3 linked regions of the Rattus norvegicus genome follow. The protein of the gene in region 1 interacts with the protein of each later gene in a pairwise test. Links are inferred from orthologs where the notes say so. Each region holds a gene or a part of one and is shown in the gene's direction. Other genes may lie near its edges. The genes, in order: Zbtb9, Pin4 and Eif4e2.

The links.
Region 2: the proteins of Zbtb9 (region 1) and Pin4 interact in binary tests that used the Homo sapiens proteins (3 or more experiments, as listed by UniProt). The two-hybrid records come from large-scale screens. The link is inferred for Rattus norvegicus from reciprocal best matches to the Homo sapiens genes ZBTB9 and PIN4.
Region 3: the proteins of Zbtb9 (region 1) and Eif4e2 interact in binary tests that used the Homo sapiens proteins (3 or more experiments, as listed by UniProt). The two-hybrid records come from large-scale screens. The link is inferred for Rattus norvegicus from reciprocal best matches to the Homo sapiens genes ZBTB9 and EIF4E2.

Annotation. Positions count from the first base shown.
Region 1 is NC_086038.1:5,058,446-5,062,196, forward strand, and holds the start of Zbtb9 (zinc finger and BTB domain-containing protein 9), read left to right. Parts: upstream 1-870; 5' UTR 871-1,006; exon of another isoform or gene 1,007-1,107; intron 1,108-1,250; 5' UTR 1,251-1,289; coding exon 1,290-2,687; 3' UTR 2,688-3,751. UniProt on the Homo sapiens protein: May be involved in transcriptional regulation.
Region 2 is NC_086039.1:71,270,897-71,274,647, forward strand, and holds the start of Pin4 (peptidyl-prolyl cis-trans isomerase NIMA-interacting 4), read left to right. Parts: upstream 1-1,137; 5' UTR 1,138-1,190; coding exon 1,191-1,233; coding exon of another isoform or gene 1,234-1,266; intron 1,267-3,188; coding exon 3,189-3,262; intron 3,263-3,751.
Region 3 is NC_086027.1:95,344,288-95,347,694, forward strand, and holds part of Eif4e2 (eukaryotic translation initiation factor 4E type 2), read left to right. Parts: intron 1-2,271; coding exon 2,272-2,376; intron 2,377-3,407. UniProt on the Homo sapiens protein: Recognizes and binds the 7-methylguanosine-containing mRNA cap during an early step in the initiation. Acts as a repressor of translation initiation.

The DNA of each region.
Region 1 (3,751 bases):
CATTTCCCTTTTTTTTTCTGGAGTGTGTGGTGAAACAGAAAAATCATGTTTAATAAACGGAGATTGTTCTTTTATCGCTGGGCTGACTTTTATTTTTGGTTTTTCAAGACAGGGTCTCTGTGTGGTTCTGGGCTGTCTTGGAACTCACTCTGTAGACCAGGGTGGCCTTGAACTAGCAAGATCCGCCTGCCTCTGCCTCCTGGGACTAAAAAAGCGTCTGTCGCGGGGGGGGGGGCTGATTTTTTAGCCTGGGGTCTCCAGAACCACCTGAAGGCTGACAGGGACTACTTTGGGGGAGAAAAAGTAAAACAAAATCATGTCTTCTTCCACTACACACTGCTCGAGTCAGGAAAACTATATACGGCAGGGCCTTTCTGGTGAAACTCCTACCCCCGTTCTCTACCCGCCGGACACTCGACCCAAAGGCGCTGAGGCTGGGAACCGGCTTTTAACGCCCGAAAGACTCCAAGTGCAAAACCCTCTCGACATAGGGTTTAATTGTGAGGACGCTTGTCTGCGAAATGGAGGAAAGAACCCGGGGTGCTCAGCATGTGTGCGCTCCAGACTTCTGACCTGGCTGCCCCACGTGCACGCGGAGGACAGCCGCATCTCCTACCTCGCGCGGCAAGAGTCGGGGGGATACACACACCGCGCTGCGGAGCCAGTCACTCCCCTCACCCCAGAACCCGCAGAACCACCCTCCTCATCGGCCGCTCATCCCGGAAAACATTCGCCGCCGCTCCAGCAGCCCGCCCGCCCAAAGCCCCGCCCCTCCGACTGACCAGCCAATGAGGAGAGGTCTTGTAGGCCGCCGCTCTCCCATTGGCTGCAAACCAGGTCCGGCCCTCCGCGCCTGGCTGCAGTGGCGTCCGGCGGAACTGCGGCAGCTTCCGGCCGGCCAGGCGCAGTGGATGCGAGGAGCTCCGACGCGGTCGTGCGTGCGGTGGGGGCGTGTCGGTGGGAAGTCGTGGGGCCGGAGCTCGCGGAGCCGGCCTGTCCGAGCAAGGTGAGGAGGGGCGAGCGGCGGCGGAGGGCGACTGAGCCAGCGAGGCGGGGCGCCATCCCTTCCCTACTTGGCTTCCGCTGGGCCTGGAAGTGAAAACCCTGGTTAGTGTTTTGCTGGGTTTCTTGGTGGGCGGAACTAATACACAGAAACTTGTCACTGAAGAGTTTTCAAGTGTCGGTGGGGAGCGGCTTGAGGCAGGTCTCATACCCCGAACTTGTGTGACCCTAGTCTCTTTCCTCTGCAGTCTTCATCCACGGGTTTTATTTCTCCCTCCGAGGTAGCCATGGATGCTTCGACTCCTTTGCCTCCCGCACCCTCTTCTCCGAGGTGTAACCCAGCCCCACAGACAATCCACATTGATTTCCCTCATCATAGCTCTTCGCTGCTGGAATCCCTGAACCGCCATAGGCTGGAGGGAAAGTTCTGTGATGTATCCCTCCTGGTTCAGGGCAGGGAACTGAGGGCTCACAAAGCAGTGTTGGCTGCTGCCTCTCCTTACTTCCATGACAAGCTGCTATTGGGGGATGCGCCCCGACTCACTTTACCGAATGTCATCGAGGCAGATGCGTTCGAGGGACTGCTTCAGCTCATCTATTCAGGAAGCCTCCACCTGCCATTGGATGCTCTTCCTGCCCATCTCCTCGTGGCCAGTGGCCTTCAGATGTGGCAGGTAGTAGATCGGTGCTCAGAGATTCTTCGAGAGCTAGAAACGTCCAGTGGAATTTCATCTGGTGGAGGAGCCTCCAGCCTCACACTTCTTTCCACAACATCTGCAGGAGGCTGGTGCATTCGCTCTTCCCCTTTCCAGAACCCAGGGCGGTCCTCCGCTTCCACAGAGAATTCTGCTGCCCCTGAGAGCCCCAGTGGAGGGGAGGGGGGTGAACTAGAAGGAATGTTACAGATTCAGGTCAAAGTAGAGGAGGAAGAGGAGCAGAGGTCAGCAGCCCCACCCTTTCAGACCCCTCAGCCTGAGAGAGTGTCAGGAGCGGTTTCCCAGGCTTGCGGATCCCACCCGTTGCCTACATCGACTCTTCCCAGCAAACCTTCAGAGGATGAGAACTCAACACTTGATCCTCCTGCCCCTCCCGTACAAACTTCCCAAATCTTATACGTTAACCAGGAAAACGTCGAGTGTAAGGAGGAGACATCAGGAGGCAGGACTCTGTCTGGAGGAGCAAAGGAAAAGACCAAAGTACTGCCTGGAGAGAACTCTGAGGAAAATGGGGAGCTAAGATACTTGCTGTCCTCAGGAGGAGGGGAGACGTCTGGGGCAGGAGACCCATCCTGGAAACCAGTGGATCTCCATGGGAATGAAATCTTGTCAGGGGGCGGAGGACCCGGAGGAACAGGGCAGGCTATGCACGGGCCTGTGAAGCTAGGAGGGACACCCCCTGCAGATGGAAAGTGCTTTGCTTGCTTGTGTGGAAAACGGTTTGCAGTCAAGCCGAAACGAGACCGACACATCATGTTGACCTTCAGCCTTCGTCCCTTCGGCTGCGGCATCTGTAATAAACGCTTCAAGCTGAAGCATCATCTGACAGAGCACATGAAGACCCACGCCAGAGCTCTGCACGCGTGTCCCCATTGTGGCCGCCGGTTCCGGGTCCAGGCTTTCTTCCTTCGACACCGGGACTTATGCAAGGGCCAGGGCTGGCCCACTTACCACTGGACTTACAAATGACTACCGATGCTCTGTAGTGATTTCTAGGACAAGATAGCCACTGCTGCTGACGGACTTACCTTCCACCACCTCAGTCCTGGATCGTGTGGTCCTTCCAAGAGATTATATATGTCATGTTGTGAACCCCTTACTCTTGGGGATGGGCCTCACCCTGGTATATTTGGAAGTCCTGTAGGAAGGTCATGCTTCTGATCACTCAACCGGAATGGCCCTTTTTGTATTGATAGCCAGTGAAGGAACTGCTGACCTCAGGTTATATTAGCAAGAGAAGAGATGGAGCAAAATGACCCAGTAACTCTATCCTCATCTTCATGAGGAGGTGAGGGAGCTGGTCTCCAACTAGGAAAACATTTGATTCAGAGCTCAAGTAATTGTCAGACTCAGCTCTGAGCGGCCTCTGCCTCACTGTCAACGGTATCCCGACTCTGTACTTTCTGTCATTTCTTTCCAGAAGCTTTTTAAAGTTGTACTTTTCTTTTCTCACCAGGAGACACCTTTCCCAAATATCCTTTTAAAAATGACTGGAGAGGTGGCTCGGGCACTGACTGCTCTTCCAGAGGTCCTGAGTTCAAATCCCAGTAGCCGCATGGTGGCTCACAACCATCTGTAATGGGATCTGACGCCCTCTTCTGGCCTGCAGGCGTACATGCAGACAGAGCATTCATACATTAAAAAAAAAAAGTACTTGAACATGAAGCAAGTGTCCTGCACACATTTAATCACAGCACATGGGAGGCAGAGGCAGGTGGATCTCTTCAAGTTCAAGGCCAGCCAGGGCTGCGCTCGGCGAGACCCTATCTTGAGGGGGATAAATAGTACTCGAGCACTTTAGCAAACTGAGCATTTCACAGGTTACTCTGAAAGCCCATCGCAGAGGGTCCTCCCTCAGAGGCCTTCACCTTGTCTTTCACTACCACTAATCACAATGACAGATGTGACCCAGGAACTCAAGAGGTGGCAGCTGGCCTACAGCGCTCCCAGGGTGGCATTTCCCCCACTTAGAGGATCTCAGGGTTGAACCCACACATGGTGAGGATCTGCAGAGGAGCCACGGTGGGACCATG
Region 2 (3,751 bases), on another chromosome or scaffold:
ATACTTTACCAACTCCATTTCCCAGAAGATGGAAACTGAGCCCAAGAGCTTCTTCAAGGTCACAGGACTAATAGAACGGGTTTTAAAGCAGGCCATGTGCTTCCAGAATCCAACCTTTAAATTGCATGATATGTGCTGTCATACAAAGTTTGAGGCTGGAGGTGGTAGCACATGTCTTTAGCCCCAGCAGCTGGGAGACAGAGGTAGGCAAATCTCTGCGAGTTCAAGGACAGTCAGGGATACACACAGAGAAACCCTGTATTGAAAGAAAAAAGGAAGGAAAAGAGAGAGGTAAGGAGGGAGGAAGGGAAGAAAAAAAGAAAAGAATTTTGGAAAATAAAGAGACATGAATGACTATATAGATGGACACCAGTGGTCACATGCTATGCTGCTGAACATTATTAATGGCTTATCTTTTAAGTGTATATACTATGTACTACAGGATATATAACTTTAAAAATCACATTCTACACCTTGGTCTATAATCTTCCCTAAGGCTATTTCTGTATACACAGTTTATAATCATTATTTTAAAATTAATTTAGGCTGCTTCCAATGTTTCTCCATGACAGACTTCTGCCACAGGCAATGGGATGATAGGCTTAAAAAAATTCCATCTTTTATACCCCATCAACTACTGCTGTGAAAATATAAATAAATGGCTAAATAAATAAATAAGAAAAGCCACTAGGGAGTGCAGTTCTGTGTCAGTCCGTGAAAGGACAGGAGAAGAAGGCCATTATCTAAGGTCCTTCTGCTATCCCTTTGTCTAGCATCCCCAAGGTATTAGCAAAAACCCACGCCAAGGAACTGCAGTGGCCTGAGGCTAGCACTGCGCATGCACAAAAAGTGGGCGGGGGTGAAAGAGAGCATAGAACGGGTGCATATGAGGGCAAGTGAAAGCCTTGAGGAACAGAACAGAGGCGGGGCTTTTTTGTCTCTGGGCAACCTTTGTTCCCGCCTCTCCTTAGGGCTTCGGCTTCTTATTGGTCAAACATCTTTAGTTCCTATAGGTCAAAGAACCAATGAACTGGGTCTGTCCCAAGTTATGCCTGATTCCGGAACCGCAGCAGAAATAGTTGATTGTGAAGCTGCTTTCAGGCATTGCTTTGGACATATCTATGGGGCCTGAAGGGGCCTTTTTCTAGCACCGGAACAACTGCCGGAGAGTTCAACGGCAAGCTTAAGAGATGCCGCCGAAGGGGAAAAGTGGTTCTGGAAAAGGAGGGAAAGGTAGACCGGCCGAGACAGTCAGAGAGCTTAGGGGTGAATGAGGAGAAGGGCAGGGGTAGGCCGGCAGGGTGAGGAAAAGGGCAGGGGTAGGCCGGCAGCTGTGGGGGGGGGGGGCCGCGGGGGGGGTGGTGTTATAAGTTGGCCAACAAGGTAACCAAGAGCACCGTGAGCCGCTACGATTTATGTTCGGGGTTCTTTTAGTAAGTCAGAAAAGTGCTGTGATTCAGGGTACCCATGAGGTTTCAGTGCAGGGACCATCGTGGCGGGATAGAAGCTACTAGGGATGGTTCCTCGCGACCTGGAACTGCTCTTTTAAGGGTTTATTACCACTAAAATTGAATCTGATGAAACGCCAGCATTATTAACAACTAGTATTATGACATACCCCTTTCCCTTAGGAGGGAGTCACTTTTTGAAGACAGGTGTAGGGCACATGGCTGTGTTTTCAGGCTAGAAAAGTAAGACAACTCTTAGTCGTTCCTGGACGAAGTGGGGAAGATAGTACTGTGCTGAATGTAGTTCTAGGAGGTATATTATAGAAGGTGGAAAGAGGGTAAAGAATCAAACTGGAGATACTGCTGAAATAAGCAGCAGCAATAGGATAAAACATACTTGACCCGGAGTGTCCAGCCCCAGAAGCAGTTTGTATAATCTAGCATTACTGAAGTAAAAGTTCAAGACAAATAAGCCAGCAAGAGGAAGGTATTAAAGCAGAAGAAGACTAAATCATAGGGTGTGCTGTACATGATGTTAAGGTCGGTCACAGGCCAGGAGGTACTTTAGAGAGCATTTCAGTAGTTCTGGTAAAAAATAGCCTGAAGAAAGGTCGTGGTTGTAGGAACCCAGAGAAGAGACAAATAAAGGGAGTGTAGTAGAATGATGCCCCAGAGGCCCAAGGAACCAAGATGTTTTAAAGTATAAGAATGGGTGAGACACCACAAAGCCATGCCTCAGCAATGGTAGACTGAGGAGGATGTGAGTTTGAGGTCACCAGGAGTACATTGTCCTTTAGCTGGTCAGCTCCTGTTCATCAATCAAATATTGCCTGTTTAGCTAAAATACGTGTCCCTTCCACAACTTTTCACTTGTTGGATTCTCAGAAAGTGATCTGTCTTCCTCACTGGGATGTGAGCTCTTGGCTGTAGCTATGAATCCTATTCACCTTATACCTGAAGAACTGGAACTTGGGAATTATTGAGGAAACAATTGTTAAGCTAAATACTTAGTCTTAGACACCTTGGCTTCTAGCATTTAATATACTGCCTTTGACACAAAACTTAAGAGTAGTAAGATGTGCTACCAATGCTTGATAACCTGAATGTCACAAACTCTAGGAGGATATCGGTAGCCATTGTGGTAGACTGCAGGGGGAAATTATATATATATATATATATACACATATATGTGTGTGTGTGTGTGTATACACACATATATACATATATACACACATAGACATATACACACATTTATATATATACATATATACATATATACAATTTTAATATAATGATAAATATTTTAATATGATATATATGTATATATATATTCATTAGCAAGCACTCTACCCCTGAGATACAACCAAACCCCTTAAAATTCTTGGAGATTTTGAATGTTAGAGTTTCAAGTGTCACACACAGTCACAGAACATAATAAAAATTATGTGATTTTATATAATGGTAGATTTGGAATGGGGTCTGAAGAATCTGGACCAGGCTTCTGGAGCTCCTTCATCCATGCCCACACTCATTTCTTTATTTTCTGCAAAGTATTTTGTAGGGTACATTTCCTGTTATTAGAGATGAGTCATAGAGTAAGTTAACTTGATTGCATGACTCACCATGTAGCCTTTTGGAACTTGGGACTGTAATGGATGGATTACCTTGTGTTATGAGTTAGACCTATCTATAAATGTCAAAGTACAGTTGAAATGAGTTTGTATCCTCTCTTTTCTAAAGGAGGTGCAGCCTCTGGGAGCGATAGTGCTGACAAGAAGTCTCAGGGTCCTAAAGGTGGTGGCAATGCAGTAAAGGTGAGTTATCTCATGTGTTAACTTTTTTCTATGTAAAGAATTGAGGTGTGTGTATGTGTGTGTGTGCATGTGTGTGTGTGCATGTATGTGTGTATGTGTGTCTGTGTGCATGTGTGTGCGTGCGAGTGGATGCGCGTGCACAGAAAAAGGAAGGATATAAAACTAGAAACCAAAATCCAGTCTTAGCTTTCAAAGGGTAGAATTTTCAAACTTCTAGCACTGTTCTTTTAAATGTGTTAACTTGTGGACTAGGGTTTTAGCTCAGTCAGTAAAGTGCTTGAGAAAGGACCTAAGTCTAATTGGTGAGTTTTAATCCAGTGAAAGACCTTATCTCAAAATAAAAAAAGGGGGATGGCACGTTAGAAGGGAATTATCTCCTGCCCTCCAGATGCACATGTTCACAAATTTGTTACTTTGACCATGGGTGGGAGATAGTCCCCAAATAATTACCTGAAGCACTTAATCACCCTATCCCAGAGCACTGTCGGC
Region 3 (3,407 bases), on another chromosome or scaffold:
AACTTGTGATTCTTTTGCCTCAGCTTTCTGGAGCCTTAAACCACATTCCTGGCACTAGGATACTGCTCTTGCAGAGGACCAGTTGAGTTCAGTTCCCAGCACCATGTCAGGTAGCTCACCACTCCCTATAATGGAAGCTCCCAGGAATCTGATATCTTCTGGCCTTGTGGGCATGTGCATGGACAAGGATACACACACATAAATAAAAATAAAATAAATCCTTTTTTTTTTTTTTTTTTTTTTTTGGTTCTTTTTTTTCGGAGCTGGGGACCGAACATTAAAATAATAAGACATCTTTCAAAGTTTAATGGTTGTTTTTCTCTCTCTCTCTCTCTCTCTCTCTCTCTCTGTCTCTGTCTCTGTCTCTGTCTCTGTGTGTGTGTCCCATGCACACACGCACACACACAAGTATAAATGCCCAGAGTTCAGAGGTGTCATATCCCCCTGGAGCTGGGGTTGCAGGTAGTTGTAAGTTGCTTGATGTGGGTGCTGAAAATTGAAAAGTATGTGCTTTTAGCCACTGAGCTGTTTCTTTTATCTCTATTTTGGCTTGAGTACAGATTTGTATATTTTGCCTAAAATATAGGCAAAAGTTTAGATTACTGCTCACTGTATATGTTACAGCCACTTAATATTCCAAATTACTACATGTACAGGTAGGCCCAGCAGTTTCAGAGATGAGGTGTTGAATTAAAATCCCATAGATAGCATTAGTTTCTGGTTTTGAACTATATAAGAACATGTTGTGTTCTGTAAGGCAGCTGGAGAGAACAACTTTTTTTTACCTGATAGGAGTCAGTTTCTCTTGCTATCTAGATTTAATAGGCCTCAATATTTGACAACACCTGTTTCCTACTGCACAGTCCTGCTGAGTATTGACACGGTATTGACAGTTACTGGTAGTTATTCCTGCCTCATGTCTTCTTTTCCTAAAGTGCCTCCTTCCTGCCAGGGCCTACAGGTATCTTCTGTAGATCACAGAGACCAGGATGAGTGTGAGTGAGTTTGGGGTTGTTGGTGTTGTTGTTGCTGTTATTAATGTTTTTAATTTGTGTGTGCACATGTGGTATATGTAGTGTGTGCATACCTGCTGAATGTCTGCAGAGGCCAGAAGAGGATATTAGATGCCCTGATGTTGTAGTTGCAGGCAGTTGTGAGCCACCTATTGTGCGTGCTGGGAACTGAAAGAGCAGCAAGCCCTTTCAACCACTGAACGGTCTGGATTTCCAGCCTCTGGGTGGGTTGTTCAGTTGGTTGGTTTTTTGTTGTTGTTGTTGTTGTTGTTGTTGTTTTTGTTTTTGTTTTCGATGTAGGTAGGGTATCACTATGTAACCCCATCTGGGTGATCCATGTTCCCTAGATCCTGAATACTGGAATATAAGTGTATAAACATACTTGAAAGAAAACTATAAACCTAGTTTTCCTGTTTAAGGTATATACAGAAGAGACATAATCTTTCCAGCTGAGAGGAGGAAAGAAACCATAACCCTAGCTCATACACTGTCTAAACAAAAGAAAAAAATTAGATTTGACTCTGTGAGTATATGCAGGTGAGGCCTTGTCTCCTGACATACCTCAGTATGAAAGAAAGGTTTTCAGTTGTGCAGAGAGCTGGTGCTGTTACTATTCCGTGAGAGGCCAGGCTTGTCAGTGTGGCCTCCTTTTCCACCTCAAAGCTGCTGACGGACCCCAGCAGTTTTCACCAACTTTTTTTTTAGATTGTAAATATTCTATCTGTATTAGTGTATATCTGCACCACGTGTGTACAGTGTGCAAATCTGAAGAGGGTATTGGATTCCCTAGAACTGTTTGCTAACCACACATGGTTATGAGCTGCCATGCCAGTGCTAAGAAATGAACCTGGGTCCTCTGGAAGGTAAGCCAGAGCACTTGATCCTGAGCCAGCTCTCCAGCTGGGTTTATCCTTGGATTGAAAGTATTAGGTGTTTTTGTTCTTATTTTGTCTTGTTTTTCTTTGATTAAACTGTACAAGCCAGGCATGGTAGTACATGCTTACAATCCTAGCACTTGGGAGGTGGAGGCAGGAGGTAGGTCAGTTGAAGACCAGCCTGAGCTACAAGAGACCTTGTCTCAAACCAAATAAAAAACCTATATGATGGTCTTCTTTCTACCCTGCTCCAAATGAAAATGTGTCCCCAAAGAGGGTACCCAAGGCAGGATGTCTCCCATGTTTCTGTTCTCAGTAATACAACTGTGTGTGCGTTCAAAGAAGAGATAAAGTCCTTGTACTCTTGGCTCTTCTTTCTACAGGTGGAACAGTTCTGGAAGTTTTACAGCCACATGGTCCGTCCCGGGGACCTGACAGGCCACAGTGACTTTCATCTCTTTAAAGAAGGAATCAAACCTATGTGGGAGGTAAGGACTGGCATCTCTAGCTGCTTTCAGGAGCAGACTTTTTCTTTACTTATTTTAATTTTAAGTTCTGCCAAGGTTAGAAGAGTTTTGAAATTTTCTCTCAAAGCTGTAACACGATTTGCTAAGTCTTGGGAGCCTGCACCTCTAGGAACAGTCATTGATGCAGTCGTACATGTTCTTGGCTTATGGCTTTGAAGATGGTCCTCTCTTAAGGCAACTAGTATAAGAGAAGGTTTAATTGGGGCTGGCTTAACAGTTTCAGAGGTTTAGTTCATTATCATCATGGCAGGAAGCATGGTGGCGTTCGGGGAGGTGGGAATTTGTTGAGTGTCCCGATTCATAGGCAGCAGATGAGACTCTGGGCTTTTAAACCTCAGAATACACCCCAGTCAGCTCTTGCCCTAATAAGACCTTACCTCTTAATCCCTCTAATTCTTTCAAATAGTGCTACTTCATTGACTATGAATTCAAATATATGAGCCTATAGGGACCATTCTTATTCAAGCCATCATAGGTACTGTCATTCAAATGGTGCTGTTAAAGTAGTAAAAACTTTTATAAAATGTCATTGTTCCCTCAGAACACATCTATGTGCATATGTATGTGCAATGCATTTGCTAAGTATACAGAGGATTAAAGTGGCTGGAAAAAAACTTTAGAAGGGGGGGGGGCTGGAGAGGTGGCTCAGCGGTTAAGAGCACTGACTGCTCTTCCAGAGGTCCTGAGTTCAAATCCCAGCAACCACATGGTGGCTCACAGCCATCTGTAATGAGATGTGATGCCCTCTTCTGGTGTGTCTGAAGTGTACTCATATACATAAAAATAAATAAATCTTTAAAAAAAAAAAAAAAAACTTTAGAACGGGAAACTGGAAGAGAGCTCTGTGATCTCTTTGAAGAACTGTCACTTGGCTTCTACTCCACGGCCAGAGCATTTTTCTAAGGAAAAAAAATAAATGTTGAGAAAATGTGGAAAGTCCTCTCTTCCTTCTGGCTCAGTGAGACATGTTCCTCCAGTGCCTTGGCATCTTC